Linked DNA regions of Oreochromis niloticus. The protein of the gene in region 1 interacts with the protein of each later gene in a biochemical or structural test. Links are inferred from orthologs where the notes say so. Each region holds a gene or a part of one and is shown in the gene's direction. Other genes may lie near its edges. The genes, in order: akt1, ezh2, ccdc88ab and hspb1.

What was found.
Region 2: of the proteins of akt1 (region 1) and ezh2, one has a biochemical effect on the other in vitro, tested with the Homo sapiens proteins (2 studies listed by BioGRID). The link is inferred for Oreochromis niloticus from reciprocal best matches to the Homo sapiens genes AKT1 and EZH2.
Region 3: the proteins of akt1 (region 1) and ccdc88ab form a complex in vitro, tested with the Homo sapiens proteins (2 studies listed by BioGRID, with this or other methods). The link is inferred for Oreochromis niloticus from reciprocal best matches to the Homo sapiens genes AKT1 and CCDC88A.
Region 4: the proteins of akt1 (region 1) and hspb1 form a complex in vitro, tested with the Homo sapiens proteins (3 studies listed by BioGRID, with this or other methods). The link is inferred for Oreochromis niloticus from reciprocal best matches to the Homo sapiens genes AKT1 and HSPB1.

The regions. Positions count from the first base shown.
Region 1 is NC_031983.2:8,882,212-8,890,543, reverse strand, and holds the start of akt1 (RAC-alpha serine/threonine-protein kinase), read left to right. Parts: upstream 1-4,826; 5' UTR 4,827-4,981; exon of another isoform or gene 4,982-5,257; intron 5,258-8,332. UniProt on the Homo sapiens protein: AKT1 is one of 3 closely related serine/threonine-protein kinases (AKT1, AKT2 and AKT3) called the AKT kinase, and which regulate many processes including metabolism, proliferation, cell survival, growth and angiogenesis.
Region 2 is NC_031974.2:2,280,371-2,288,378, reverse strand, and holds the start of ezh2 (histone-lysine N-methyltransferase EZH2), read left to right. Parts: upstream 1-4,309; 5' UTR 4,310-4,728; intron 4,729-4,909; exon of another isoform or gene 4,910-5,087; intron 5,088-8,008. UniProt on the Homo sapiens protein: Polycomb group (PcG) protein. Catalytic subunit of the PRC2/EED-EZH2 complex, which methylates 'Lys-9' (H3K9me) and 'Lys-27' (H3K27me) of histone H3, leading to transcriptional repression of the affected target gene.
Region 3 is NC_031978.2:10,540,636-10,548,302, reverse strand, and holds the start of ccdc88ab (girdin), read left to right. Parts: upstream 1-4,329; 5' UTR 4,330-4,950; coding exon 4,951-5,013; intron 5,014-5,109; coding exon 5,110-5,210; intron 5,211-7,667. UniProt on the Homo sapiens protein: Bifunctional modulator of guanine nucleotide-binding proteins (G proteins). Acts as a non-receptor guanine nucleotide exchange factor which binds to and activates guanine nucleotide-binding protein G(i) alpha subunits.
Region 4 is NC_031975.2:6,935,839-6,943,786, reverse strand, and holds the start of hspb1 (heat shock protein beta-1), read left to right. Parts: upstream 1-4,254; coding exon 4,255-4,645; intron 4,646-7,948. Other genes in the region: srrm3 (serine/arginine repetitive matrix protein 3), read left to right, coding at 828-1,107. UniProt on the Homo sapiens protein: Small heat shock protein which functions as a molecular chaperone probably maintaining denatured proteins in a folding-competent state. Plays a role in stress resistance and actin organization.

The DNA.
Region 1 (8,332 bases):
TTTAGCTGTTACTGGTACAACAGGAGGATATCTGCACCGAGGTCATCTCCAGATAATTGTAAAGGAAATGCTGTCACGCTCTCTAAAAAAGATGCCAAGAGAATGGATGATTTCTCGTTTGTAGCTGAACACCCGACAAACTAAATGTTTAGTCAGATGTGTGGCACATACAAAAAACAATTTACCATTCAAGCACTGATGCTTACACAAACACTCCATCCAAGCAGGAGCAGTGATGTGGATAAGAATAGGAGCAGTGGCCCTGTGTTTCCCTGGCCCTGGCAAACGTAGGCGCCCAGTAGAGGAGGGGTGTGTGTGTGTTCACAGGGCAAGACAAAGCAGTGGTTGTGCCTGGGGACTGTGGCCTCAGCAGAGAGAGGCTCGGCACGGTGAAGGTTCTCACACACAGAAAAAAAAAAGATAGGGAAAGAGAGACAGAGAGAATGAGAGCGGGGGAGTCGGGAGAGAGAGAGAGAGAGAGAACACTTCCTGGAGGTTCATTCTTCTTCTCTGCAATCATCAATGGCATTCTCTCCCTGACCCACTCCTCTCTCAGACAAACAAAAGACCCCGCATTCCAGTGTAGCCTGACTGGCCAACCAGCCAGAGTTGAACCACATCACTCTCCCTGCTGGACCAGAGTCTGATCATAGTTGTGGGTTTAAGCTGTGCTGGTGGTGTCTGTTTGAGGGTGTTTATAATGCATCTCCATGCATAAGGGCAGTAAAGTTTATGTTCTTTTGAAATGGTTTTAATATTGGGGAGAGTGATGTTATTTCACTCTCACTGGCCATGCAGATTTAATCAAATTACCTTTTTTTAAACAGGTGCATCTTTTATGTAACTGGCAGAGAATTCAAAACAAAGCTTTGCAAAACCTTTTAACCCTGTTTTTAATTAATAATAGCACAACAGCAACAAATTCAAAAGGCTGCGATGTTATGGTTTTCTTTTGTTTATTTGAAACATATATGCTTATGTCTTTAAAAAAAGTGGGATAAGAGGATGTTTGCCACTGTGGTGTTGTGAAACCAGAGAGATCAATTACTGCAGTTTTGTAAGCCAAATGTATTTCTGGGCTTGTTTGATATAAGATTTCAGCTCTTTAGCCATTCGGGGCCTTCTGCTTTGTCATTTTAGTTCTGTAATTTTCCACATTTCCAGTTTCGGAGTAAAGTCGGATTGGTTTAACACCTGGATTCTTTTACTGTAGGGCCCCGCTGCTATAATATGTCCAGTAAGTGGTCTAGTGTCATCCTCCTGAAAAATACATGAGTGGTAGCACATGTTCTAAAACCCTGCATATATATTCATTCAGAATTAATGGTGATTTTAAAGATGTGAAATTTACCCGTACCCTCTGCATCCTGTGCACAAATTCACTTCCTCAGTATCACAGATGCTGGCTACTGAACTGTTTGCAGATCATCTGGATGGACTCTCTCTCAGCTGGGAGGACACGTCTTCCATTATTTCTGAAAGGAATTAAAACTTTTTAACCACAGTACAGTAATTTGGTTTTTTACTTCAACTCAGTCCATAATAAAGGGGTTCAGACCCAGAGAAGTCAGTAGCATTTTCCATGTTGTTCATAAGTGTTTTTTTCCTTTGCCTTTCAGAGTTTAACTTGGAATAAACTTAACTTTTTGAATAAAACAATAAATGTATGTCTGTTCGCTTAATAGTTTTCAAAAGTGTTCCTTTTGAATTTTTACTTCAGATTTTCACTTCAGAATTGTGTTTGTTTCCAATGCAGTGAGTGTTAGTCTTTGGCCTAGTCCTTTGCATACAAAGAGTTCCCTGCGATGTCTACCTCTTTTAATAATATTGCATACCAAAGAAAATTCTCAAGTTCATGAGTTGCAAAATTTAATTCAATTCAGTTTTATTTATATAGCACCAAATCACAACAACAGTCGCCTCAAGGCACTTTATATCGTAATGTAAACCTCCTACAATAATAAAGAAAAAACCCATCAACAATCAGACAACCCTCTATGAGCAAGCACTTGGCGACAGTGGGAAGGAAAAACTCCCTTTTAACAGGAAGAGACATCTAGCAGAAACAGTCAAGGTAGCAATCCTTAAAATTTTCAACTATTTTCCCATGCAGTCCTTCACAGATGTTTCACTCTCTAGGAGGCCAATTTTACAACAATATTTTATATTATTTGCCTGTTGCCAGTCAACCTAACTGTAGCTGTAAGATGAGCCACCAGATGTTTTAGGGGTTTTCTATTGTTGTCCCTAACTTTTTTGGAAATAGGATGCTGGAATCACGTTAAAAACAGTTGCCAGCTTTTAGAACCAATGCTTTAATAACTGATAATCAGTTGTTTGTGTGTATCTTCTAGGAGTGATTTATCACAACAGCTGCACTGGTTAAATAAAATAAGTGTCCCTATATCACTCACATACTTTTAGTATCTCTTATACTGTTCTGTACTGATCCTGCTGTTTTACACGCAATTTATACAACAATAGTTGTGTGATTCTTTTGCTTTGTTTTTTTTAAATATTACATTCATCTAATAGTGTAATAGTTTAAGCAAAATTGCTTTGTAGTTGACTGGAGATGCTGTTTTGGTCAGCTTCCCCACCGCCCCACGTATCCATTCACCCAACACCTCCTCCATATTATGGCCCTCCTGCCCTTCTGTGTCTAATTGTTGTTACCGCGTGTTATCTATTCTCCTTTAACGGGCCATTAAGTTCTGTCTGTACTGTTTGTTGTACTCTAGACAGATACTGCAAGTAGACAGGGATCAGAGATCAGATGAGCCTTTGATGGGAGAGATGCTATTAACTCACTTTGACTTTTTAATCTTGTTACTGTTACGTTTGATCCCGCAAAACAACAGAGCGGGCATTCCCATCAACAGGCCAAAGAGAGTGGGTGGAGGAGGAGGAGGAGAGCACCAATGAATAGCAACTGGAGAAAATATGGGATACCCTAAGTCAGCTTTGCCTGTATGACAGGAACAGCTTGGCGAGGCTGACACATGGTAGCAGTGAGAAACACATTACAGCGTGAGTGACAAAGAGGGGAAATGACAGCAGAGGAGGCTGAGAGACAAAGGGCACAAGCCAATGAATTTTTCATCACAAGAGGAAACATTGGCAGCTTTCCCCTGCTATCCTGTTCTTTTAATATTATTAAGTCATTATTGCGGGAATTGTCACATGCACTGTCTTGCTTTTATAAGTGATACATATATTTTACTGCACTTCTAATGCTGATTCAACTTTGAGGCAGTCAACTACACCATGCTTGGAGATAGAAAAATAATGGAGGGGTAAGACGTAATGGACGTGAAGAGGGTCGTGAGTATCACAGTGTAAAGCAAGATAATGGAAATGTTAAAATGGGAGGTCTCTAAAATGTTTTAGACTTCTAGTTAGAAACATTTTGATCAAGTATACCCAGTCATCTGAGGGCGTCATTTGATACATAGGCTCCCTGACTTCTTTTAAGCAGACTGAGCTGGCCTGTCTGTACCTGTCCAAAACTGGTTTAACTCCTACCTCTCCAGTGGAGTTCTCTGTAGCTGTAGATGACGGTTTATCTAACACAACAGGTAAAAGTGTGGCATGTAATCATGAACAACCCTCAAGATTTTTACCTTCTCGTTCAGCTGTTTCATCTGGTATATGCAGTTAATTTAAGAGAGTATCTGCATGAATACAAAAAGATCAGTGGCAAGGGCTAAATCAGACTAAATACACTTCTGCAAACACATTCTTGTGTTCAGCACATCTGCTTTACCCATTTTGAGGTATTTTGTTTTAAGTGTGTCAGACTGAGACATTCTCACACTTCATGTTTAGTTGGCATTTCCTGGAAATGTCAGAGGCCCTTCCACAGCAACTTGAAGAGAAAGCGTGTACCAGTGCTTTTTGGTACTGGCAGATGTGACTGGAACCAGGTGATCGAATGTGTAAAAGTCCACCACCGAGCCTGATGCTTTAGCGCTGACGTGCAACAGAATGGAAGCAGCAGCACATCCTGCTTATGGTTTCTTCTTTAGTAGTGATTTTAATATAATTTTACTAGATTACACAAGGCTACACATGTGTCTGAAAGAACCATATCTGAAACTAGAGCTAGAGCTTCACCTTTTAGAAGCACAGCTCTTTACACAGTTTTAAGGTGCATAACCTTTTGTTTTCGTGGTTTTGATTGGTTGGTTGACCTTATTTTGGATAAAGCTTTATTTACTTTGACCTAATTTCACTTATTATAACTGTATTTCCATGTTAACAAGTTTACCCATCAAATACAACTTGCTTGAAACAAAGACACGGTGACAAACTTGTACTTTTCTTTCAGATACAGCTGCAGCTTAACTTGTTTAAAACCCTAGAAGGAGTTTTGTGAACATAAAATATTTTATTGTAATATAATTTTAAAAGTTATTAAATAACAGGGCAGATGTGAAATGACAAAATGATAATAACATACTAAATGAACCAGTTTAGCTCTAAAAAACGTTTTTCTTAGTCTTTTCTTATAGCAAACTTTGCAAGACTGTAATTTTGAACTTTTGTAAGGCACTAATATACAACATCTGGACTAACTGGGAATATCTGTGTATATTTTGTGACCAAAAAACATGTAATCAAAAAGACAAAAAAAAAGTAATACATAATTACAGATGATTGATGACTAGAAGCACCTTTTGCAACCCTAATATAGCTCATCGCAGAGCAGGTAGAGCAGGTACCAAAATGTAATTCTCATCTTGTAGCCTGCATTACCCTTGTGGTTGTTCCAGGAAGTCAAAAAAACCCACCTAAGTACACTTAATTGAAGCGAGGATCCCTTGAAAAACATACAAGGTCCTCGGCAGGTCCCCGAAACCCATTTTGGAAACCACCGGCACAGATAAAAGAGCAGAGAGTTCAACAAGGCCATGCAGAAGAAGCACCACTGCAGTTTTTTTTTCTTCAATGGGACGCCTGACAGCCTACTACTCCTTCTGTGAGTGTGACTCATTTAAGGGCGGCTTTAGGACCCGGGAGAGACGGCTGCCACAGAGGCATTGCAGACAGCGCGTTTGGGAGGTGTAGTGGAAGAAAGGCAAGAGAAACGGAGTAAATGAGAGCACTTTGTCCAGATTGTTGAAGGACCCGTCAACTTAAAACACCGCCGAAACAGCTCACTATAATGAGACGGACACATTGTTGAATTCCTGTCCAGGTAAATGTCCGCGTTTCCTTCGCATGGTTAACTACAAGAGTTCGACAGCTAGACAGGGTAGGTCCCCATTGTACTTACATGGGATGCGGTTATTCTCACCCAAGCTGCCCTGCTAGGCCCCATATCCTTTCTAACGCTAGATGCAAACCTGAAATGAGGTACTTTCCTGACTTCACTTCGCCGTAAAAAGTTGTCTCATGACGAAAAAAGTCGACGGCTCATTAATTTCCTGTAGTGAATTCTTAACGCTCGGTGTTTTTCCACAAACAGCAGTGAGTCTCTTTAAGATGTTAACCATTCATTTTTTTTTTTTTTTTGACAATGACCACTTTTGAGACACAACCCTCGGGCCAAAATATCTGCAGTCAAGTCGCTTGAAACGGTTCTCCTCTTTGCGGGAAAAAAGTTGGGTTTTTTGGCGTTGTGCTTTATGGTCCTGGAGGGAAATGAAAACAAATGAGCTCAACAAGAGAGAGCAGCTCATTCATTGTTGTGAACTACCACCGCGTTTGTTTACTTGTTTGAGTGAGGCATTTATTGCCATCTTATCTTTAGCCATTAGCTTTGCTGCCTGCCTGCCGAGAAGCTGCTGTGGCCACAAACAGTGCTGCTTTACAAAAAAGAAAAAGTTATGCGTCTATGTTGTGACTTGTTGCCACGCGTTTACTTTTTGGTCCACAATTTAGACACAGACGTCATAAGAAAAAGTCCCAACAGTGTAATTTAACGCCCCCCCCCCGTAATCAGTACAACGGCATAATGCCTGTGGATAAGTGTGTTTTGATAGTTTTCACTGGCCTCACTGCTAGCATCCCACCTACAGTAATGACAGTTGTGTAGGTCTGCACTCAATAGTTTTTTGTCTTAAAGGTTTATTATTATAGTATTCTTATCAAGTTTGAGAGATATCAAGTGATCAAGGGCATAGAAATCTGATGGGCTTTCAAATTTCAAAAGGATTCTTGCAGGATACAAGGCTTGCAATCATGTTTAAAACTTATTTTACTAATAATACTGTCTGTCTCCTTCTCCCAGGGTGCATGCATGTACTAAAAAGAGAACATTGTCCCCGGGTGTGTTGTACCCACCATGCCTTCAGTGTCAAAAAAAAAAAATGTTTTTATCAGTCATGAGACTACGTCTGTCCACTGTGTGTGTACGCAAGGGGATTTGGCATGTGACCTGGGGAAGACGCAACAAGCTGGCGCAATGATGCAGCCAGTGACTGCTTGGCTCTCGCTGTTCTGTTTAGAAAAAAAACACCCACCTCCCACCCAATCCCCTCGCAGCAGCTCGGTTGACGCAAATCTGCCACCAGTTGCATGCAGAATCTGAGGAATGTTGTTTGAAATTTTGTCCAAAACAGACAAACAGGGGCCTGGATGCATCACCAGAGTCTGGATGTACTGAGACTGAGAAAGAGGTGGTTCTCGTACCGGTGTCCCGGACGTCACTCTTCTCCATCTGTGTCACAAAAACTGAAAACAAAATACTTTTGTTTTCCTTTTGCTTTTCTGTGTTAACTTTCCAGCCATTGTAAAATGATTCTCATGAGGTGTGATGTGTGTGTGGGGGGGTGGTGGTGATTTGAATAAATTAAGCTTTGTGTTGCTTTTACAGCTTGTCTGAACAGCCTGAATATGATTACATTAACATGAGTCATAAAGTGGTTGGTGTTCGTGTCATCGTAGGATTAAAGCGGCGAGTCTGCTTGCCTTTCAAGGTTGCAGTCACTGCGGTTTTGTGTTCAGTTAAAGCTGCCCGCAATATTCTTATCAATAATGGTGTGCTTTCAGGGAACTTGAAAGAGGAACTTGGTAGCGTAGTAGATCACCGTAATACTGGCTCCACTGTGGTATTTGAGCTCAAACTAAAGTGTTGCTTTGGTGACTTGTTTTTCAGCAACAGGTTAGCGTGATGTCATTTCTTGTGTTTTTAAATACTTTCAGTGTAATGTTTTACTTTTGGAACCAGAAACCATGTGGTAGTTTTTCTGTTAACCGAGCAGAAACTGAAGCAAAAAATGGTATCTATTAATCTGTGATGAAGGAAGTAGCGTGGTGATGTCGACCTGATTTTTTTTTTTTTTTTTTTTCTTCTCCCCTGCTTCCTGCTATAAACACATGGGACTATCCTCTCTGGCCCAGTGACAAGCTCAGTGTGTGGCAACTTTTGCTGCATGACACTGATTTGCATTGAATGGGGTGGCCCCCGGCGTTGGAGCCAGAAAGATGAATGATTGAAAGCCGCCCTGACATCAGGGCAGGCAGGCAGGCGGTGGCCCAGAGGCCTGAGGACCATGTGACCCGCTGTCAGGGTACTGGGTTCATTCAGTGGCTGCTGGCTGCAGCGCTGGCAGCGGCCCAGCTTTTTCCACACAGGCCGCAGTAGCAACAGGTCGCTCCCATTAAAACAGCAGCGCTCTGTTGTGGCTCCAGAGCCGGTCTTGTGCATGTGTTGCTTTTTTGGCTGCGGCGTGTGTGCGCTCAAGTTTGTTTGTGAGGTGTATCCCAATGTGTATATAATGTGTGCGTGCCTGTGTCACAGAGTCCACACTAAGATGCCGATGGGATCCAACGGTTTTTGTGATCCTTACTTTGAATTGCACTCTGTGTGCTTCCCTTTTTTTTTTTTTTTTTTTTTTTTTTTTTTTTTCCTTCTCAAATCCCTCTCCAGGATCCTTCCAACATCGGCTGTGTGACACAAGCACCACAACCCCAAGTGCAATAAACAAAAACACTGAGCGAAAATAAACTTTGGCTTCATAAACTTACTTTTGCTCACTGATGGAGGGGAGCAGAGTGGCAGTAAAAGGTGTTGATTGCACACTCGCTGCCAGATGTATTCGAGCCTGAGGCTGTACTGATATGACTCGTTGTCTGTCAATAGTCACATTCACTTCCTGTTGTTGTCCCCACCAGTTAGCTGGATGAGGCCACTCAAACAGAGCTCTCTTTTGATGGCCCAGCTCTGATGGAGCAGCAGGGAAATTGATTTCAGCCGATGGTCAGGGATCGCCTGGCGCAGTATGTGACATTTATGTGAACAAGCATTGCAATTGATCATCTTTTGGCTGCTTCCCTTTATTCAAAGCTATCTTTATATCACAAAGAAATACTGAATGAAGGAAAG
Region 2 (8,008 bases), on another chromosome or scaffold:
GTAATCAGATTACAGTAACGCGTTACAAGTAACGCGTTACTGCCCATCTCTGGAGAGGACAGATGGTTTGAAAGAGGAGTGAAAGAGGCCATCTATGTCCACTGTGAGCGACCATCTTTGAACAGAGGCGGTGGTTTACGACACCAACTGTCTGCCATCTATAATCCAGTTTTGAGTTCCCTCCCCAGACGCCTTAACGCCCACTCACATCCTGGGCCATCTGACCTCAGGAATTCACATGACAAGGTGGGGCCAGGTTTCACAATGAGCTCACCCGAAACCCTGGCTGATTAGGTCCCACACCCACTTTCACACCTTGGCGCATGTGATTAGAGGATCACCAGGGGGTCCTTTGTCCCTCCTTGGGGGGATACTCCCACTGGGTTTAAATCTGGGACTCTCGGCCATTTGACCTTAGAACTGAAGAAGCTTCTCGGATGAGAGGTGAAACGTCTTCAAGCAACTTAAAGAAGTCCAGACGCTTTTCTTTGCAAACTCCTTTGACTACGATGACCTGGATGACTGAGAACCTTCACAGACATGTTTTGTAGTAGTTAATATGTCATTTTTCTTAACATAATTGGTGATATAGGTTACAAGCAAGTCTGGCGCTGAACAGAAATTGTCGCGCTGCTCCTTTATTTATTGTGCATAAATAGTGAATTGTCCTGACAGAATATTGCGTTTCGCTTCTGTTATTACCACGGTATATTGACAAAAACATATACTTTTATTCACAGGATAAAACAGTTGTTTTGTATCACTAATTGTCCAGTGCGATTACAACATACAATATTATTGTCACTGCTACATTTCTGTAATGCGTACCAGAAATTATTTCCACTACTAATTAATTACCGTTGAGCTCAAAGGTTATATTAATAAACGGTTAACGAATGTGTATTTATGACGACGATTTGTGAGACTGGTAAACTTACCTTTGTTTTTACGATGGTCTTGTGTTCTACACAGTGCATTTCAAGGTCCTGTACCCATCCGTCGGTAAACTGTACCTGGGCTTGTTGCAGTGACCTGAAGTTACTAAAAACTTCATGAGTGTATGCACTCACTCCAAGAACCGTATAATTATAAATCTGAGCGTGGTGAAAGTTGGGCAGCACACTGACGTCTTTTGTCCACTCTGTGTGCTTGTAAGGGTCTGACCCTTTCACTCCTTTGATTTTTTCCTCGTATCTTTTCTTTGCCTTTTCATCGAGTCTGTCTTTGTACGGTCCGGCATTATTCTCCTTAGTTTTGTACATTCCTTTTGTGTGCGGCAAAGAAAAACCAAGAATGTATTGGAACCGGAGAATGAACGTTTTGCGGTGCTGCAAATGCTTGCATTTGATGCGGTACTTGGATCGTTTTGCCTCGAGTTCCCGGCATGCATTGCGCGAAAGTCACGTGATCTGTCAATCGCTATAGGAAAAACCTTAAATTAAGACCAAGAACCCTAGAGGTGAGACATGATCATTAATTAATATTAAAATTAATAAATGACAGATTTAGTGATATTTTCATAAACACCTCCTTTCCTTTTTTTGTTCTCCATTTTCTTTAGTTCGTCTATAAGATTGCTAAACAAGGGGGAGGGTGCATCCGGCCTCCTCGGCTGTAATTGGTCCAGCCCAGAGTCGATCATGACCAATTGGCCAATCCAACACCTTTCATTATATATACCCTTCCTAAAAAAAAAATTTAAAAAAAAAATCCATCGGCCCATAAAAACAAGAAATCGCCAGCGGCCCACCGGGCAAATGCCCGGTATGCCCGATGGCCAGTCCAGCTATGGCTTCATACCTTTATATGTAAATATGTTCTCACACAAATAAATAATATGTTATTATTAAATATGTTTAATAACATAAATATGTTCTCTGTATAAAGAGCTAACATCTCCAAAATGTCAGCAGTAGTTAGTCATTACAAGAAGTGTTTTTGAGCTAAAAATCAAGAATGTGGGATACTGTTTGTCGGTGATTTGGAGAGCCCAGCGCTGCTCTTGACGCAGGGGAAACTAATTCTGTCGAGGAGACCTTCCTTGGCATTTATGCAGGTGAAACCAGAGGGAAGACATGCTTCTTCATATTTTCTAGTCTTTGGCTTGCAAGGAAGTTTGTTTGGAAACATGTTTGGCGATGCTTCATCTCCTGCTTTGTGTTTGTGTGGAAGCCCCGTCAAAAAAAAACCTGACCATTATGCTAGTAGTGTCCAAGAGTTCTTTTTTCTTTTCATTTTTTTTTTATACCGCACTCCCCTGCAATGGCTCTGCGCCCCCCACTTTGGGAACCTCTGTGCTGACCAATAAATAAATATAATATCTTTTTATAGGATGTTTATACACTCAGATTCTTTCACTACCTGCTCACTAACAGTAACAACACTATCAGTAGCAGCATAATCGGTTTTCAGGAAAATCACAAAAGTCTTTCTCCACTGAAAACAAAACAAAAAAATATTTGGACCTTTGAGAATCTAGAGTCTTATTTTTATAGATAAGTTAACGGAATTTAAACAAAAGCCTGGCAGATGGAGCTGCACCACCGTGACCACCAGAGGGAGCTGTTGTGAGATCCCACACAGATGAACATTAGAACAAACTGTCCTGTCAGTAAAGAGAACACTGGAGCACCTTACCAGTTATAAAGCAGCATGCTCCATTTCCCACTTTTTAGGGATTTTCTTCCCAACTTTTTTTCAGAAACAGTGCAAAACAAATACAAATAGCTGATGCATTATTGTCCCTCTCATGGTCTTATTTCTAATCCTGTTCAGTCTAAATGAAATTAATAACATCTTCAGCTCGGCCTCCTTTCTTTTTGTCACTGCCATCATCCCCCACATCATCACAGGTCTCGCTGTCATCTTATAAACCTTCCCTTTCACTCTTGATGCTCTTCTTCTGTCACAAATCACCCCTGACATTCTTCTCCACCCACTCCACTCTGCCTGCATCTCTTCTTCACCTCTCTTGTGCATTGTCTGTTGCTTTGGATGGTTGACCCCAGGTATTTAAAGTTGCCCATGTCACTATAACACACAGATCACCATTGTTTTGTTGCCCTCATACATGTTCTGCACCACATTCATATACTTCTCTGCCACTCCTGACTTCAGCACGCACCATTACATTTCCTCTCTTCCTCCCTTCCTTCTCTATACTTCTCCATCACTCTCAAAGCAAACATCACATCTGTAGTGCTCTTTCTCAGCATGAAGTCATGCTGCTGCTCATTGATCACCACCTGTCTTCTTATTCTAGTATCATCAACGTTCCATTTCTTCATGGTATGGCTCAACAACATTATCCCTCTGTGGTTGCTACAGCTCTGCACATCAACCTTCTTCTTAAAAACAATACAAGTACATTTTTTCTCCATACCTCAGGTATCCTCTCATTCTCTCCAGGATTGTGTTAAACCATCTAGTTAAAAAAAAAGTCCACCACCCTCTCTCCTACACATTTCCATCAGGTATGTCATCTGGACGACCTTTGCACTCTTCATCCACTCTGTTTACCAGGTCACCTAACCTATTAGTATTCCAGTCTGCTTTCCTCATCTCCCTCCCTAGTATTATTAAAAGTAATGTATAACGTATTTAAAAATCAATGCATTAAAACATTCTTATAAATTTTATATACATTTTTTGTACTACTCTTAAAGATTTGGAATGATACATAATTGTTTTGTAATGATGCTTTTAATCTGTCTGCTGTGTTTTCTGTTTCCGCTGGCAGTGAATGCATCATGCGGACATTTTCGAAGCGTCATCCAATCGCTGCTTGGAGGGGCGTGGCTTAATAAACTTAGAGACCCTTGCCCTTGCTGGTTGTGGCACTGTAGTCTCTCATTCATTCAATAAACCCGTTCAGCCTTCATGTTTTCATGTTTCCTTGTTCTGGACACACTGAGACGCTCACACACCTGCTGAAGCCTGAGCTGTTCTGCACGAGACGACGCGCTGTCTGTCGCCTCTCCTCTGCCCTTAAATCCGTCGAAAACCTTTTTTATATAAGTGTTTTAGTTTAGCCCCACGGCTGTGACAGCTGTTATACGTCAGAGACACCGCTTTGATTTCAAATGTGATGCATAAATATTATTAACTTAACTGTCAAATTGTGTATTTGCATATTTTGGTTTTTATTCCGTTGACAGGAGAGAACAAAGAGAAGCTGTCCACATGTCCCCGCTACAGGGCCCCCAGCTCAGCTCCAAATTTCATTGGCTACACGTTTATATCATTCGACCTATCGCGTAGGACTCACTGAGGAAACACTAACATCGGGTTCTGTGATTGGCCTAGACGTTTGGCGCCTCTTGAATCCGCCGCAGCCGTAGTGGGCGGTGAGGCGGAGGAGCAGTTTGAACAGAGTCGCTGTTGCTTAGGCGGAAACATTAAAATCCAAATAACTTTTTACAAGCAGGCTGACACCAAACGGTGCGACTGTCCCTCATAGACGCACAGCTTCTGTGTCCTAACCAGCCTTGGAGCGAAGGAGCCGGTTTGAGTTATTTTATTTGCCGGCTCTGGGTGCGTGAAGCCGGGTGTCGCGCGAACTCGGTCGCTCCCTCCTCCTGAGTTAAACTGCTAGCTAGCCACCGAGCTAACGTTACAGCTAGCCGTAATACGGAGCGAGCTAATCTGCAGCACAAAGGACGACTTTGCCCGTGTTTGTCGCATCGATCCGGATCGCTCCGTTGGATGAGGCCAGAGGCTCGGGTGGAGGTGAGAGAAGCTGTCAGTGTCCGTGGCTGTGTTCACGGGGCTTTTGTTGTGGGCTGCTCTTTGTGCTCTTGGGCGCCTCAATCTTTGTTAACTCGCCAACTGTTAGCTAGCTCGCCGGGGTACCGTGCCAATTCTTGTATCCCCGTAAATATTGACTAGCTTATAAAGAAGCCGTCGTCTTTTTTTTTTTTTAAATCACTCGGAGGAGGGTAATGATTCCGATGGATCCACCGTCCACTCGTGTTTTGGGACCTTTGTGAGCCTGTTTCTGAGCTAAGGGGAAGCACATTTTGAGGGGAGCCAAACTTGGCACGACATCCGCAAGCTATCGTTAGCTCGAAGCTAGCTCACAGAAAAAGGCTGGTACAGTTTTTTGATGTATAATTTTTAGTACCTCTCATTTAATTTTCTTTCTTTTTTTGTTCAAGCTTTTGAGGGTTTTATTGTGAAACTGGGGCTGAAGGTGGTGTTAAAAGTGAGTGTCACCTTAAGTTAGGAGATTGTCACATTGATAAAAGTAAAAAAGCTTCCCTCTTGTTTGCCTAGAAGCCTTGCGGGGGCGATATTCAACCACTTCCCTCACTATAAAACTCATAACATCGCCTAGATCAGAAGAATAGAAGTTTGTGCTGCTGACACATGACAGGAAGCTCGAGTTTCACCTGTTAGTCAGAAGTCATCTTGAGAGTCATGTGGCAGGTTTTGGGTAGAGCCCGACCTGTGCTGCTGGGTTTGTGAGGGGAGACAAGCTTGTTAGCTTGGTAGGATGGTGGGGTTATTGTGCTGTTTATTTGTAGGTGACAGTGGCTGCTGTTCATCCACAGACTGTACATAAAAGAATGATATACAGTACTGTGATAAATTAACTCCCCCCTTCACAATTTCTTATTTTTTTCCATTTGTCATAGTTACTTATTTCAGATTGTCAATACATTTTTATTGTTAGACAAAAGATAACCTGAGTAAATAGAAAATGCATTTTGTAAATGAATAATAATAATGATAATGATTTAATTTATTAAGAGAAATAAATCTATACAAACCAAGCTGGTCCCTTGTGGAAAAAAAGTAATTGCCCACTAAACCTAAAAACTTGATCTGCAACTCTTGAAGGTCAAATGTTTGCAGTGATTTATTTAAGTCAGGACTTTGACTAGGCCTCTCCAAAACATGCATTTTGGGTTTTTTGAACCATTCATCATCATCATCGTTAATTTGTATAGCACTTTAAAAACACACCCGGTAGACCAAAGTGCTGAACAATACAACAATAAATAATAATAATATAGAAACTTGGCAAGACAATAAAATTAATAAAAATGTCAGTCACCCACAGAGTTAAAAGCCAGAGAATAAAAATAGGTCTTCAATCTGGACTTAAAAACCGGCACTGATGTAGCCTGTCTAATGTGAAGAGGAAGATTGCTCCAAAGCAATGGGCCACAGCAGAGAACGCCCAGAGGTGGACTTGCTGGTGTGTTGGATCATTGTTCTGCTGCATAAACTAAGTGCCCTTCTCCTCCAGGATTTTCTGATAGAGAGCAGAATTTATGATACCATTAATTATGGCAAGTTGTCCAGGTCCTAAAGCAGCCCCAGACCATCATTAATACTGCCACCTTGTTTGAATATTGATAAGATGTTCTTTTGATGATGTGCCGTTAGTTTGATGACAGATGTAACAGGAATCAAAGTTCTGCTTTTGTCTCATCGGTCCACAGAATATTTTCATGAATTCTGAGCTCACCAGAGACAAGTGAGGCCTGCAGTTCTTTAGATGATGTTCTGTTTTGTTTTTGTTTTTTTTCCTGTGACAACCTGGATGAGCTGCCAAGTAATTTGGAGTAATTGTGGTAGGCCATGCACTCCTGGGAAAGTTCACTGCTGTTCCAAGTTTTCTCCATTTGTGGATAATGGCTCTTACTGTTTTCGTGAGTCCCAAAGAATTAGAAATTTGTATTCCTTTCCAGACTGGTAGATGTCAGTGACTTTGTTTTGCAGCTGTGTCTCTAGACTGTAGCGTGATGTGTTGCTTTTGGAGATCTTTAGCCTACTTTACTTTGACAAACAGGTTCTGTTTAAGTGATTTCTTGACTCAACAGGTCTGGGAGTATTCAGGTTTGGGTGTGGCTAGTGAAAGTGATTGGGACTTTCCAAAAAATGTGATTATTCCCAGTTTGTTCATGACTTAAAAGTGGGGGCAGTTACTTTTTCTGTTCTGAGGTCAGGTAATATGAAATTTGAAATTATTTTTGTAAAACACAGAGTTCACATTCTCTGGAACAAAAAGGAGAGGAAGCATTCAGTTTGTCATCAGTTCAAAGTCTGCTTCCATGATGATGTGGGGGTCCACTCGTGCCTATGAAACTAGAAATATGAACGCTGAGCCCGGTGCTGAAGTGGCCTGCCTGCAGTCCAGACCTTTCTCACCATAATTCATGCTCAACATTTGGAGGATAATGAGCCAAACAACACAACCAAGACCATCCAGACCTGTTGAGCAGCTAGAATCCTTTGACAGGAATAGGAAAACATTCCTCTCCAGAAAGTCCAGCAGCTGCTCTCCTCAATTCTCAGATATTTGCTGGCTGATTAGAAAATAGTTTTATAGCATTGTTGGTGATTTTTTTTCTTCCCTCACATCTGTACAGGAAAACCAAGCACAGTTCACCAATCCCGGTATATCCGTACTAGGGTTGGGCGATATGTAAAAATTTTCCAATCGTCAGTCCAACAATCTCTGATGGGCGATATATTCGCGCATGCGTACACTTTTTGATGGGTGGGGCAATGTAATCATGCAGGAACTGATTTGTGCGTTTACAACACAGAATACAACGCGGCTTGAACGCGGTCATCACAATTACAATTTTTAACACTCTCAACCCATCTGGAGCGCAGAACGAACAAAATTGGGACAAACTGCCGAAATGTGTTGATGGGGACATTTCAGGGATTTTGACTCAGTCTGGGATCCAGATGGGTTAATTGTTAAGCGCGTTAGTCATGATGACAGCGTGTTAGCACTGACAGCGCAAAAAATATAAAGTCGCCATTTTGGGATTTCTTTGGCTTTAAACAGATGAAAGAGGTAAACCTAAGGATGTAACCAAAGCGGTGTGCTGCAGACGTATAGTGTGAGCAAAGTACTCAAGCACGACTAACTTGCATGAGCATGTACGTGTCCACCATCCGGCTGCGTATGCGGCTATCACCAGCTTCTGCAGCTCCATCAACAAGCATTTGGGCACACTCTGATTAGGGGGGGATTTGCTCGCAG
Region 3 (7,667 bases), on another chromosome or scaffold:
CAAGAGATGCAGTATAAGCTTCAAGATAAGGAAGGAAAAAAACCAAGTGATGCAGTGGAAGCTCCAAGTCACAGAAAAAATAACAAAGGCTTGCAAGTGATGTTTGATGAAGTACCCCCAAAAAATACAGCAGGGACAAGCAACAGCAGGAGGCACGGGGAACATATTGTTAGAATATTTTGGTTTGAGTGAATGAGTAGAAATGGAGGAGGGGATAATGAAAGTTGATCCAAAGTGGATATTTTTTCATTTTTTTATCAGAAAAAAACACAAAAAACCTGAACTGCTTCTACCTGCCATGATGGTGTCCCCTAAAAAGCAGAAAAACATTTTGTACATGATCAGCAATTTATTCAGACAGATCTGTGCACGCTTCACATCTTGATGTCTAAAATAACAGTACTGTGATACAGAAAAGGACTGCATCGTCAGGTAGACTTTGCTACAAATATATATTTCTTGTTCTTATTACTCCACTTTGACCCTTGAGCTTCCAACAAATTCATGCAGCCAAAACAGTTATTTTCCAGCACTGAAGCTACTTCCTGCACCTTCTTTACAGCACTACAAAGGAGTGAGGGTAAATGTTGTTTTGTCTATATGTACATTTCAATATCTGAAAAGCTGATTTGATTGATAACACTGAAAACCGTTCAAACTCAAAAAAAGGAACTTTATTATTTTTGAATATCTGCTTGGGTAACACCCATATTCAAAACAATGACTCTCATACATTTTTTGTAGTCGAGTTATTGCTACAAAAATTTAAAATAATATAAAAAACAACAACAACAAAAGCAAAACACAATACTGTGTTCTGACATTGTTTCAGACTCTTGAGTCTCTAATTTGGGAAAGTTTGCCAGCTTCCAGACTACTGTACTTTGAATGAATACAGTGTTGGTCAGAGTCTCTTGGGATAATGGTAGCTGCATGTAGTGCACAGATCACGCCAAACATGACCGAGAAGTTCATCAGCACTTCTTGGGAGTCCTCCACAAAGTCACTTTGAATTATAACAGCCCGGAATGAATGAGAGATAGTCGGATGGTAAATTGATTAATGAAGTGGGCAGCACATTTGGTTTCTAGTAATATCAGACATTTTTGAAAGACTGATTTAATAAAAAGTACAAAACAAGAATCCTGGCTTTCAGGATGCTTCTTAAAACATATTTGCCTAAAAAAAACAAATTAGCATTTCCCTGCATGGACATATTACTGAAGATTAACTTATCTTTTTTTTAACTAGTTTATGTCACTTACCTAACAATTACTTCTGGCCTTAAAATTAAGGCCTAAATAATAGGCTAAACTAAATAAAAGATGAATGCAAACTTTGAGTTAGTAGGACTGGTTTTTAATAAAAATCTAATTTCCATTACTTAATTTAGTTAATAACATTGAATATTTATTGCAAAATATATCATATATATAACCATATCCACTTAGTCTTCATTAAAGAAATTAGATTGTAAGGTTAAAGATCAGAGCACAAAATGATCATATCTGAATCGTCACCGTAGAAAGAACAATATGTTCTTCCTTCCTCTCATGTTTTACTGATACAACTCAAGAAATTAAACTACATTTTCAGAGACTTTAAATACATTTGAATATAAAACAGGTATGTTACCAAATTAGCACTTCAGTATGGACGATCTAGGATACAGAGGGATTTATTTCAAGCCTCCAAAAGGAACTTTTATAGTGCAAATATAAGCAAAGACACAATCAGACATTACATTTTGAAACATGTCAGACTGTTACCAGTTTCTGCTTGGAGCTTAGATCTAATGAGCATTTTGTTGTATGCTAGACATAGCCCATCTGTTAGCAGCAGAGCCTCATTTAAACGGCTAATGCCCACATAAAGATGCAGACATCCATGTAAAAGATAAATAGAGTCCTTTTTTTTGTTTTGTTTACATTAGATTATCCAGCTGAATATTGTGCATTAAACAACTTACATCGCTTCAGCTAAACATGTTTTGCAGGAAACAAGAGACAGCCGGTCCTGTCACGAACACACACTGTATAGCCCCAAGCTAAAGCACCAACAACAGTGACCGTTATTCTAAATGGAAATTATAACTTCTGCTTATTCAAAACAGCTGCTGAAATGTGCTGAGTGAAGGTTTTAAGGGACTATATATACAGTAAGCTATTCATTCATTCTTAAACCTGTTCCTTGGAGGTGATTCAGGTCTCTGGTTCCCAAACCAGTGATTGTGTTTTGATTGGCTATTTGGCCACATTGCCTTTGCTCCCTCTGCACACCATCAGAGCCATTTATCATTTGTTGATTAGGTGTCTTCAACCTCTATAGTGGACTTATTTCTAAGTCATCACTTTGCAAAATAAAAAAATATTGTGTGTTTAAAACTCCTGGCTTCATTCAACAAACTAACCAAGTTAAGTTTAGTCAAACACATTTATCCATCAGTCATTTTATTATTTGCTGCCAACACTGAATTTATTGATTAGTATCTCACAGTCTTCCTAAACCAAACTAACATGATCAGTTCTGTCCAGCCCACTCAGATATTCCACTGCTATAAAACAGAAATGCTGGTAACATTTGACAACTTGTTTTACAAATATCTTGAATGATTCATTAATTATATAAGTAGCAGATTATTTTTCTGTCAAAATCTGACCTTGAGTAATCATTTGACCTTTCACTGAATAGTATGAGTCACAAGTTATCTTAGAGCTTCAAAATTAGCCATTCATAGCTGTTCAGACATTTACTAAATCATTCAAAGTCATTTAAAAAAAACAAATGCCAATAAAAATGATACAACCTCATTCTGTATCATTATGGATATTTTTAGTTTTATGGTCTTTAAAGCAGACCTGTCTATTTCTGTTAAATTTGTAATGTTACAATGGTGAATGCTCAACTAATGATAGAGGCATATGTAGAAGTAATGAGCCAAAACCTCAAGTTTCAGACTACTCTAACTCGCTCTATTTCACATACTTTTTCTCCTACTCTTGAGTATGCATGATGTCACTGAGACAAGATAATATTGTCATTACAGACCCATCCACCTGCTACTGAGCCTGTGTTTTTATTAGGGATAGCCAATCAGAAGAAAGTTGGGTTAAAGGGAGGTAGATGCGAACTAAAGTACAGATGCTGGATGAAATGAGGGACTGTAACAAGGCCCAGCATAAGATTAATCAGGATTGTTTCTAAATAATAATAGACTAGAGTTCAAGAATAGCAAGAAGATCTTGATAGATTGTACCGTGCATCTCTACATTTTATTAAAAATCCAAAGTCTCTGATAACTTACAAAAACCAATATTGGTTTATCTTTCTCTATGAAGCGATACTATTTTACACTATCGTACCCCTCTTTGTCGCCATATCAATAGTTACTAGCTATGATCCTCTAAATTGGCCTTTTTTTGATGTGACTAGAGTTCTGACAGATGTGGGGACAACAGTGTTTTGTTAGACATGGAATAATTTTCAGGAAGACCTTAAACTTAAACAAGGCTATAGCTATTGGTGAATTTAAATCATCATATGGATTGCAGAAAAGGAGACGTTTCATTATTTTTTTTTTTAGAGGCCACTAATGTTTTATGTTATTTGTTTATTGCATATTAATTGTATGTATGTAGACCTTGTATTTTTTGTTGTATTTGTGGTATTTGGGGGATGTTTTCAGTATGTCTGAAAGCTGCATTGGCCAAGTCTCCCTTGTAAAACAGATTTGATCTCAAAGGAACATCCTAAATAATGCTGAATAAATAAATAAACAAACACAAAGCTGGAAATGAGCACAAGTCTCCTTTAATAAACCAAACAAATAATTGATTGCAGAAAGATTATTTTATATATTTGAAACGAATCATATGTTGCAAATTTGATGGAACAGTTTCTTTGATTGACAGATACTACACCTCCAGACTTTACATTACCCACCAGGTGTCAGTAGCCTACATGTCACTAATGTACTGCATGCTGCAAATGCAGACAAAGAGTATGCCTGGATCCCCAGCATTTATACATGCCAGTGGATTAAATAAGCACAAACTGGAACCAAATGTGCCACAGCATGTTAGAAATCATAACGCTGAAGCTGCAGACAAACTGGTTTTCAATGAAAAACAAACAATTTGCTTCTTTGATACTTAAAATGATCTTAAGACAGTTTAACTGCGCTAGATGACTAAGTGCTTTCTACGAAACATGACTAAGAGCATGAAGTAGTCTGAGCTGAAAGAGATGCTTTGATCAGTGCCCTACTTTTCTTGGGCTACAGAGGCGCTGAGGCGGAGGGAGATGCACGCGAGAGGCAGGGAGGGGGGCGGTCCTACGCGTCCTCGAGTCATCCTCCCAAGTCTTGCGCTCAGTGGTGTGCAGTATTTGAACAGAGGCAGACAGGGGAAGCAGAATGAGTGGTTAGACATGACCTTAGAATAAATATGAGGAGTAACCCGACGGTTTCAAACATCTGGATTTCCCTTTGTGTTGGATATTTAATTTAAAAGGACGTGTTGGAGGAATATCGCCCCTCACCGTTGGACTCTATCTACCAGTTCCTCAGCATAAAACCATACCTGGCGCAGGTCTCCTTAATCTTATTTGTAGATAGATAGCGAGCCCGGCTGGCGACACATTACAGAGTACCTTTATTTAAAGCGCTTTAACAGAAAATGTGAATCCCTGCCTTCTCCGTGAGGGAGCCGAACCCCCATCGTTGGCATCTGAAACAGCTGGCTTGTGTCTAGAAAATTGTGGATTAACGATTTTTTTTTTTTTTACCCCTTCTCCCACCGAACCTCGGACGTCTTTCAGTGGCCTGTAGCCACAATGAGCGTCGATTTAATTGAATTAACTACATGAGCGGTGTCTAAAGAAACGCGTTTCTCTCCGATTTCAAAAAGGGAAAAAATCCATATCTGCTGAAATAAACGGCGCCAGGAAAATATGGAAAACGAGGTGTTCACTCCGTTGCTGGAGCAGTTCATGCTCACACCTCTGGTCTGCTGGGTAAGCTCCCTAATTAGCTATTCAGATGTGTCTTGAGCTCGCTAATTAATCACCCCATGCTGTTCTTTTATTGATTATCTATTGTCCACTTTTCAGGTGAAGACGGTCGGACACTCGACGGTGACCGATGGCACCAAATTATCGGAATATATTGAATTAGTGGATGGCATTTACCTGAATGAGATAATGCTTGAGATGTAAGTAGTTTGCGGCACACATCCAGAAATATTACCCGTCATTGCATTAACAAGGGTTACTGGGTTAAACCTTAAACGTGTTATGTGCATATAGTACCCATTCTGTGTGGTTATATGTATGCATTTTGGTCAGTAAACGGGGTCTGTGGGTGTGGAGGAAGGTCAAAGTGGTACTCACCCTGGGGGTTTTTCGTGGGGTCGTCCCCTCATGAGCAAATTAAGCAACTGCAGCCTCTGTCCGGCGCTTAAAATGAATGTAGGCTAAGCACAAAGGGACCTTGTATTGGGGTCAATGATGGGTCGCACTGTCAGAAATCTTTGCAGACAGTTATTGTCGGGGGTTCTTTAGAGCTCCGCAGATTGTCTGCAGGCATGTTTGCTGCAAAGATGCGTGCGTGTTTTCTTTTAAGTCACCCTACACTGTCATCTGCAGCCGACTGGAAGACACCCCGCCCCTGGAAGCTGCAGCCTCACGTTTCCTAGTAGAAATAGGGCTACTATTTCTATTAAACTAGAAATAGTAGCCCTAAGAAGACTCGCTGTAGCAGCACAGAATCTGGATGTTGACTGCACTGCAATGCAGCAGGCCAACATTTGGTTTACATTCAGCTGAAAGGGAAGGACTTGTTATGTATTGGGAGTTCTGTTGATAGTGAGAAAGGTTGGATGTTTGATAAGGCAAAGGAATTTCATGTTCAGTTTCTCTTTCCACTCAGCTACTAACAGTGTTGGGAAGGTTACTTTTAAAATGTATTCCACTACAGAATACTGAATACATGCCCCAAAATGTATTCTGTAACGTATTCCGTTACGTTACTCAATGAGAGTAACGTATTCTGAATACTTTGGAATACTTAATATATTATCATGCTGTTTACAACTACATGAATGTCCTATTGCTGTGATTTATTACTGTTACTGAAGGTCCGCGGCTCCGAAACGTAGTAAAGGGACCTCTGGCTAATACCGTGGGTTCGTGTTGGGCTGGTAGCCGAAAACTAGCTTTACTTTGTTGTCTGGGTCAACTTTGCTTGCGGGAGACAGAGAGAGGCGTTGAAAGGCTGCTCCAACGGAACTTATTTTTTCCGGAGGAAAACACGACCACGGTGTACAGTTGAGTCTTAATAGCTTACTTACAAATGGGCTCGTCAGGCACTCTTCTTGGCTGCTGTGGTTATTATTATATTTACATGCTTCCAGCTCCCGTTTTTGCTCCGTGACAGCTCGGACTTTTCCTTTCTCTCCCTCCCTCGCTCACAGACACATAACGTGTATGGCAGTCCATTCTCCCTGCAGCACGGACTACACTGCCCATCAGGCTACATGCTTTAGAGCTATGCCTGTAGCATTCTGCCTTTTAGCTTAGCACAACAACAACAACAAAAAAGCGCTCTCTCACCCAGGAAACACGCAGAGAGAGAGCGTCACCCTGTAACCATGGCAACCGTAACGCTGCCGCCTGGAACAACAGAACGTAGCTGTCAAACAAACCCAAACAATCCTGACCCGCGACAATATGAAACAGGGAAGTACCGCTGTGTATTCCATTTATTTCAACAAAGTAACTGTATTCTGAATACCACCTTTTTAAACGGTAACTGTAACGGAATACAGTTACTCATATTTTGTATTCTGAATACGTAACGGCGGTACATGTATTCCGTTACTCCCCAACACTGGCTACTAATATATATATAAAAAAAAAAAAAACACCCAGCACGCCCCTGCGGGCGGTTTATCCTTCAAGCTCGGGTCCTCTACCAGAGGCCTGGGAGCTTGAGGGTCCTGCGCAGTATCTTAGCTGTTCCCAGGACTGCGCTCTTCTGGACAGAGATCTCCGATGTTGTTCCCGGGATCTGCTGGAGCCACTCGCCTAGCTTGGGAGTCACCGCACCTAGTGCTCCGATTACCACGGGGACCACCGTTACCTTCACCCTCCACATCCTCTCGAGCTCTTCTCTGAGCCCTTGGTATTTCTCCAGCTTCTCGTGTTCCTTCTTCCTGATATTGCTGTCATTCGGAACCGCTACATCGATCACTACAGCCGTCTTCTTCTGTTTGTCTACCACCACTATGTCCGGTTGGTTAGCCACCACCATTTTTATATATATATATATATATATATATATATATATATATATATATATATATATATATATATATATATATATATATATATATATATATATAAACATGACAGAATACCGCTTTTCGTTCCTTTGTCTGGCTCCTGGCTGGTACTTCCCGCTAGCAGGACAATTTTTCATATTTTCCGCTAATGCTACACTCCACACTGTCAGCATTTATCCCCCCGCCTGCCTGTCTAAGCACCATTCAACCCAGCCTGCTCCCACTGGAATTGATTTTCACCTCTCAAGAGATTATGTGTTGCACTTTCATGTGACAACTTCTTGCCACATCAGTAGCTCAGGGAAATGTATGGATATTCTAATCTGT
Region 4 (7,948 bases), on another chromosome or scaffold:
CTGCCGGCTAGTCACCCCGGTAACAGTTGCCGTGCAGCAGGACCCTGATACCGTGACTGAAGTTTGGCTGAGCAGCAACTCATCAGAGCTCCCATGAGTAAACTGGGCTTCCTCCTCTGTCCTTTCTCTGCTTCTTCATCTCATTCCTGAAACTCACTCCGGCTCTAGAGCCGCACCCTGCTGTATTTCTGCACTACTGTTGTAACACAAAGGATGCAGAGATTAAAGCGCTATCAAGGTTTATTAGAGTGGAAGCCCCCCTCTTTCCCTCACACACCTTATTGCTCACACTGTTGATTCCCACAGCCAATGTAGAAGACAAAAGCTGGGGTTGAGTTATCTACAGCGCTGCTCGTGAAATGTACCTCGTAGCAGCAGGGATACCTTGATAGCGTTTATCTCTCCCTGCACCACTGACTCTTGATTTTTATTTTCTGGGTGTTGGCCTCCACTGAGAAGATGAGGTTCTTAGGGAACTAACGGCTAATTACCTTACAGGAAGTAAGGGTGGCCAGGGTGGCTATTAACAAGGCAATCTAAGCTTGAACTTCAACTAAACACATGCATTTTTCTGCTATACGTGTGTGTGTGTGTGTGTGTGTGTGTGTGTGTGTGTGTGTGTGTGTGTGTGTGAGGCTGAAGAGCTTTTTTTTAACCCACATAGCTGCTCTCTTTCAGATCCTGTACTGATTACACGTCACCATTCTGTGACCTAACACTGATTGCCTTAATCTTGCTTTAACATCAGATTTAACAGTATAACCATAGAAAATAGGACTAGGACATAGGACTAACTGTTCAAACCCTTATTTTTCCCCCTCCTCCAGCGCTCGGAAGCGGCCGATTCCATACTACCGGCCCAGTCCTTCATCTTCCAGCTACGACAGCAGCCCGTCACAATCCAGCCGCAGCCACAGCCGCAGCTACAGCAGCTACAGCCGCAGCAGAAGTCACAGCAGGAGCCACAGCAGGAGCCGGAGCCAGAGCTGGAGCCGCAGCCACAGCTGGAGTCGCAGCCAGAGCCGGAGCTGGAGTCGCAGCAGGAGCCGCTCCCGCAGCCACCACAGTTATTACAGCCGCAGCAGCTATGACAGCCCGGGGTTCTGATGGCGACCAGCAGAACGAGAACAAAAAAAAAAACAGGAACAAAAGTAGGAGAAGTGCTGTTAAACCTGCTGCACTCCGGTAGATTCATTACGTATCCTTAGCAAGTCCTCGGCAGGGGCCGCACTGCTGTACAGCCCGGGATCCAAACTCCTTCACCATGGACCATTCTGTCTCTAACACAGAGCCTGGATCAAAGAGAGGAAAATGTATTTTGATATAGCACATTACCATGAAATTGGCTGTCACTGTTCATGTCTTCTCACACATTCAAGGAAAGGTTTTTTCTTTTTTACGTGTCTAAAATGAATTGGCTGAGCCCAAAGAACAAATGTATGTTAGCACTTTCCTTCTCATCTTCCACACAGCTACCAAAAATACATTCAATAACAGTTAATAACAGTTATATAAGTATATATAGATATATATCAAATATATCCTGAAAAGAGGGGCTGAGTAGACGAAAAGAAGACGAAAAGAAGGCAGACACATCGAAATCACACAGCTTACTGTACATTTCAGAGAATCACTTCGTTTTCTCTCATCATGTAATCATCAACCCCAAAGACTTCCAGTTCATCCAAGCACACAGATCAACAAAAAGAGAACAAAAGAGAAGTCAGAGGATGAATCAGGAAAAGAAATAAAAATAACTTTTTTTTTTCTTTTTTTAGAAGAAAACTGTATTGCATAGATTTGTCTGTACAGATGTAAACTCTCTTAAGTTTGGCTTTGTAAACTATGCACTGTATATTCCATATAGTTTGAAGAGGTATGTTCAGCATGATTCATCAGGAGAGAGTCAAGGAACCTGATGGAAATGATAGGTGCCAGCAGGGTGAATCTGCCCTCCCCCTTCCCCCTGACCTTTGCAAACAGAGGTTAATGAACGCATTACGTTCGTTATGCTAATCCTGTGCGAGAGTGTGTTCGCGTTTGTATGTGTGTGTGAGTGTGAACCTCCTTTACAAAGATCAACGAGGTAATGATTTACGTGAGCTGCTGTATGGTACCATACTGCAAAAAGTCTCCATGCACATTTGTGAGTTGATCTCAGCTGTTTATGAAACTTGCTGTATTTATTCATTTATTTATTGGGTTATTTATTGTTTAATGTATTTATCATTTCGCTGTGAAGCAGTTGGATCATGGTTTGGAGATGGGTTTGCTGCAGATTTGAGAAAAGTACTGTAAATGTCCACGTTATGATACAGAATCGGTTTCTCATTGCAAAGGTTAGCTCCTGTTATCAGATCAACAAGCAGTGCACAGATGCATTGCTACGTGTTTAAGGAGCTCTGATTTTTGAGCCAGTTGAACTGAGCGTTCACCCACAGTTACTCCCACCACTGCCATTATTGCGTCCCCAGCCGTTATAATGATTCATGGTAACGCAGGGCCGCTGTGGCTCTGCCTGTGCCGAGGGAGGAAGAGAACTCGGCCTGAAGCAGCCTGAAGAGTCTATTACTCTGCTGTACATTTCCAGTCACTCCATATTTCAGTCCCTTGTATAATTGGCCACACGTTTCTAGCAGAGGTCTCCCCGGTTGCTGGCTACAAAAGATAATGAGCGATGGCTTGGCAGGCACGGCAGCAGGCTGTGTCTGCACCTCCATGAGGGTGGTTAACAAACAGGTGATACAATCAGGGATCAGCCTAAGTCTTCCTTACCATTCACCCGGTCTCATGACATGCATTTCCAGTGTAACCACACTTATCCCAGCTATGATACTCTGCAGCCTGACCATTTATTCCAAGTATAGCATTGCCCCTTTGATTCTACAAATCATTCTTTGTATTGTACAAGTTATTATACCTGACAATAAACAGAAACAAATGGGGAAATGATCCAGTTTTTGAGTTCTTCTCTCTGCCTTCAGGTGCAGTCAGCGATAACTTGTTGGTGCTGTGTATGTATTTTCCTACAGATGGCACTGATGAGAACCTTGACCAAAAACATGAAGCCTCTCTCTATTAAGTAGGCTAGAATGTTCTCCAGCTGTGGGGAATTACTGAAACGTCGAGGCAAACTTGGGCTGAGAGGAAGACGTGGCTTATTTTAGAGGCAGATATCACATCCTGTGCTGTAACTTTGAGGGATTAGATTTCTTACACTAAGACCTGAGCCAAATCTTCCACAAATCAAATACTTACTTACTTTGCCATATATCAAATAAATTAACATAACCTCCATTTCACTGTCACATCTATTTTTTAAATTAGCCTAGCACATTTAAAACAATAGAAGCTGACCCAAAGTGCTTAAGAGACAGACACATTTACATTCCAGGTCTTCAACTACTTCATGTGCAAAGTAAAAATCATGATGATTTAGTGGTCATTAAAATGTATTCAGATTTTGGAAACTGGCAATTAATCTCATAAATCATGACATACTACTCCCCCCTAGATAAACTGCCTTCATAGTTTAAAAATATGTGTACTAGTATTAGTAATACTGGCCGTGTATTTACTTGGTTTCGGATCGATACCAAAATTGCAGTATCACGCGGCACTAACTAATCCAGTAAACAATGAAAGACTGTCAGGTTAACAGAAGACTTGAGACACTACAGCTTGTTAATTCCCTCTTTGTGACAATGAAGTATCAATAGGCAGGTGTGAACATGGTGGATTTTCCTCCAGTTTTAATGCAGTCAAGTCATTTGCATTCATGTACCAAACTGATATTCCACTGTGTATTTCATTCAGGGCTGACTGGGTTCATAGCACACCATAGTGTTGTTAGAAATAGCATGTTAGCTTGTAAGTAGACTGACAGAAGCCTCCCAGATTCTTCTGGCTCTTTGAGACGCACAGGGAGAGGAGAAGGGGGTTTACACACAGCACTCAGGGCATTGGGCAGCTGTTACATGGGAGGGCCTTCCTGTTGAATTCCATTCCAGTGCTACGTCCGCTACAAATAGATATTCTAGTGCTTTCCTAAAACATTCTGGAGGCATGAGGTATTGGGCTTGAGTCTGAAGGGAGGGTTCGGTTGATAAGGGACCACCCCTTATCAGTGGGTATAAAAGCTCTCAGCTGAGAGGCAGACAGCACATTAAGAAAACACTTCCAGAGAGGCCAAGGGGCTCTTGATCTGCACACAGCAACACTCCTCTGAAGCTTAGAAGAAATACCCAGATCATCATGGCTGAGAGACGTATTCCTTTCACCTTGCTCCGCACTCCGAGCTGGGACCCATTTCGTGACTGGCACCAGAGCAGCCGTATCTTTGACCAGACCTTCGGCATGCCCGCCCTGCCCGAGGACATCGCCGCATTCCCCAGCACCCACTGGCCAGGGTACCTGAGGCCATCCATCCTGGCCCCAGAACTAATGACACCGCATGCCCCTTTGATGTATCCAACCCACATGATGGCTCAGCAGGCTCAGGCTCGGGCCCTGTCCCGCCAGCTGAGCAGCGGAATTTCCGAGATCAAGCAGACCCAAGACAGCTGGAAAGTATCGCTGGATGTGAACCACTTCTCACCTGAGGAGCTGGTGGTGAAGACGAAAGATGGCGTGGTGGAAATCTCGGGTGAGCACTTATTTGATTTCTGTCGCTCTCCTTATTGAATGATTTAAAGGTCATAGTGTTTTATGTCCTGAAACCTAATGTGTCATATTCCAGTCAGATGTTCCTTGAGTGACACACTTTATCATACACCTACATCTCTTTATCCTTAGAAGACAGCTGTACTGGTTGGTATGCACACTGTCTCACTTTGGTGTTCTTAAGTGTCTCTTTTTCTTCTGTAAAACAAAAATTGATAGAACTGAACAAAGCATGAGGTGGTTACATAGTTACATAACATATTGAGACAATAGAGTAATGTGTTCAGGGAGTTGGGAGGGTCAGGGGGGTTTGACTGTAAGCCCACTGGACGCAAAACAAGACACAGTTCAAAATGTGGGAGTTGACTTTTAAAGAAGCTCAGGCATGAAAACAATGTTAAAACAGCCTCACTGTCCATCCAGGACGGGCAGGAGCAAAGCAGACCTGAAGAAAGTGTGGAACTGATCAGATAGCAGCTTAGTTCTCTGAAGCCCTGTGCTCTCTTTTCTCTGAGTGAATCTCGGCCTCCCTGCCTGCTATTTCACAAAGGATCCCATTCTCAGAGCTGGGGATTTAGCTGCAGCTCAACCAGTAGGTCCACTACTTTAAAAGGACTGCTGGATCTTGTCCAGGTCCAGGGTTCAGTCCCTGACTGTACCCAACGTCTCTCCGCTCAGAGACTGGACCTCATCATAAACACTGAGATAAACAAAGCACAAGATTCAATCCAAGTGGAATTTGCCACCCCATGTTCCACCCCATGTATCACCAGTGACCCAGGATGATATTTTAAACACGACAGTGTAATGAAGAATTTTGTAAACACACCAAAGTGCGACCTCTCTCTAGCTGTCGCTCAAAACTAATGACCCTTCATTTAGCTGTTGAAAAAGTGTGTGTTACACAAGTAATTTGGTCCAGTTAAAAAGGGGACACCACTCTCTGGACCGCAACCTTTATCGGTCCGTTGTCACAACAAACATATTACTGTATTCAGAGGCAGAATGAAGGGCAGCGTTTCAACTTCATAGCAGGGCATCTGAGATACAAGAGGCTGATTAAGTCTGGTGAGGATCTTAAGTGGCCGGTGTGGTTCAGTAGCACTGAACTGCATGAGTTTTAGAGTTAACCTAACATATATGCAAATTAAAACTCTCTGAAAAAATCATTTATGAAACATTTTAGAAATCTATGAAGACATGTATGTATATCCTTAGTGCTTTACAGCTTTTCTTGATTGCTGTCATGCAGCAGTCAACTCAAACAGGCCTAACAGAGGCACTGACGGTCAAAGTGACACATTTTGTTTATGCCTCCAAAAGCTAATTTTGCTTTCAAAACAACACAATTTGCAAACAAGTATATTAGATTTTCCAATCAATCATTACACAATGGACAACAAAATACAAAATGCAGTGCTCAGTGGGATCCAGAATCAAAAATGCTTTGATGCAAACTGGCTGAAAACTGAAATACTGTACATGTTACAGAAAATACATAAATGCAAAATGAATACAGTAAACCAAAATAAAATCTATTACAGTATAAGAAACAGCCGCTATTGATACTCAGTCCCTTCTGACTTGACGAGTTGGCCACAAGGCTTCATCCACATTAGACTCAAAATTCTCTCTCACAATGCACCGAGGAAAAAATCTTCTTTCATGCCGTATCCAACTTTGACATTCCTCCTCACCTATTTCTTGAGCTGCAGCAGTCATTGCATTCAGAAAGGGTATCTGCTCATAGGGATGGTGATAATAAACTCCTCTAAGGGATTCAAAAATGGGGCACATACTAGGAGGAACTGCATCATTATATGTGGGTGTACTGTAAACCACTCATTGGTGGAACGCCACATTATCCCAGATAATGGCGAAGAGGGGCATGACAGTCCTCAACAGCCCTCTGTCCTCAGGCTAGATCAGCCTCTCATGAAGTGTATTCAGGAATGTCATGAGTCCTTCGGTGTTGTATGGGTGAATAGTGGGGATATAGCATAGGACACCATCATTGGAGATGGCAGAACACGTGGGTATGTTGGTACCCCTCTGTTCTGGAACTATGAAAGTGGCCCTGTATCCAGTGAGGTTCCTTCCACAACTCCTGACTTTACAGGAGCCGACTTCATCAACATAAATGAAGACATGATGTGCCCCCTCAGCTTCAAGCTCCATTCTTCTCTGAGTAAAAGCAAAATTACAATGAAAAGTGACTCCAGTTGACTTTAACTGAATGATATGACAAGGCATTACAGCATCTGGCCTCCTTCACAACCTCAGAGTTCCTTTGAAATGGAACTCTGTAGAGCTGCTTCATGGAAATATGGTTGCTTTTCAAGACTTGGTCAGTGGTGGTCAGGCCCACGTTGTTGAGGTTCCTGATCTGCGATCACTGCTGCCCTGATTTCACGGAGCCTTATGGCATTGTTTGCCATAAGGCTGCGTGAAAATTGTCCCTCTTCCACCAGAGAACGGCAGTTCTATAAAGAATACATGTAATGGGAATGAGGAAACAATTACATGAAGTATATTGCTGAAGATATTACTACACAGCAACATTACAGTGTTTCTGTTTAAAGCGGTTGTACTCTTTGTCCAGCCTCTTTAAGTGAAAAGCCATGATTGATAGCATGATCGATAACAGCTGCCCGTAATTTCTTCTGAAACTTGAGCCTTTCCAACTACACCTCCAACTCACACACAGACGTCTCTTCCTCGGACCCCTCTACCTGTTACTCTCACTCTCATCTGCCTTAGACCTCCTCCATCCATGCTAGTAAAGAACAACACAGGTGTGCACCTTTGAAGGCCTGCAAACATATTGCTAATTAAAGATTTGTCTGAAGAAGTGTCAAACAGGTGCTTCAGTGATTTCATACTGATTCTAATAGTTAGGAATAGGTGATTTTTGTTTGGTTACCATAGCTAACACAGTGGGGCTTGGACTGTTTGAATGACATCCGTGTTAACTGTTTTGCAAAAGGGTGGGGAAAATGTGTCAAAATTTATTTACTTATTTATTCTTAGATCAGACTTTTTCCTGAGCTATTTCTCTCTGTTTGAATCTTTATGAAAATGCTCTTGCTTCAGATTTATGATTTATATTGCATATTATTGTATATTTATTTCAGGAAGTTGTTCCCTGACACCCTGGAGCTGGTTTAGCATAGCATTAAAAAAACAACAACCAAGAAATAAACTAAACCAACTCAGAAAAAAACTCAACAACCATTCAGGTTTAGCTTTCACAGCCAAGTTTTAAAAACAGAAACAGAATGCTTAT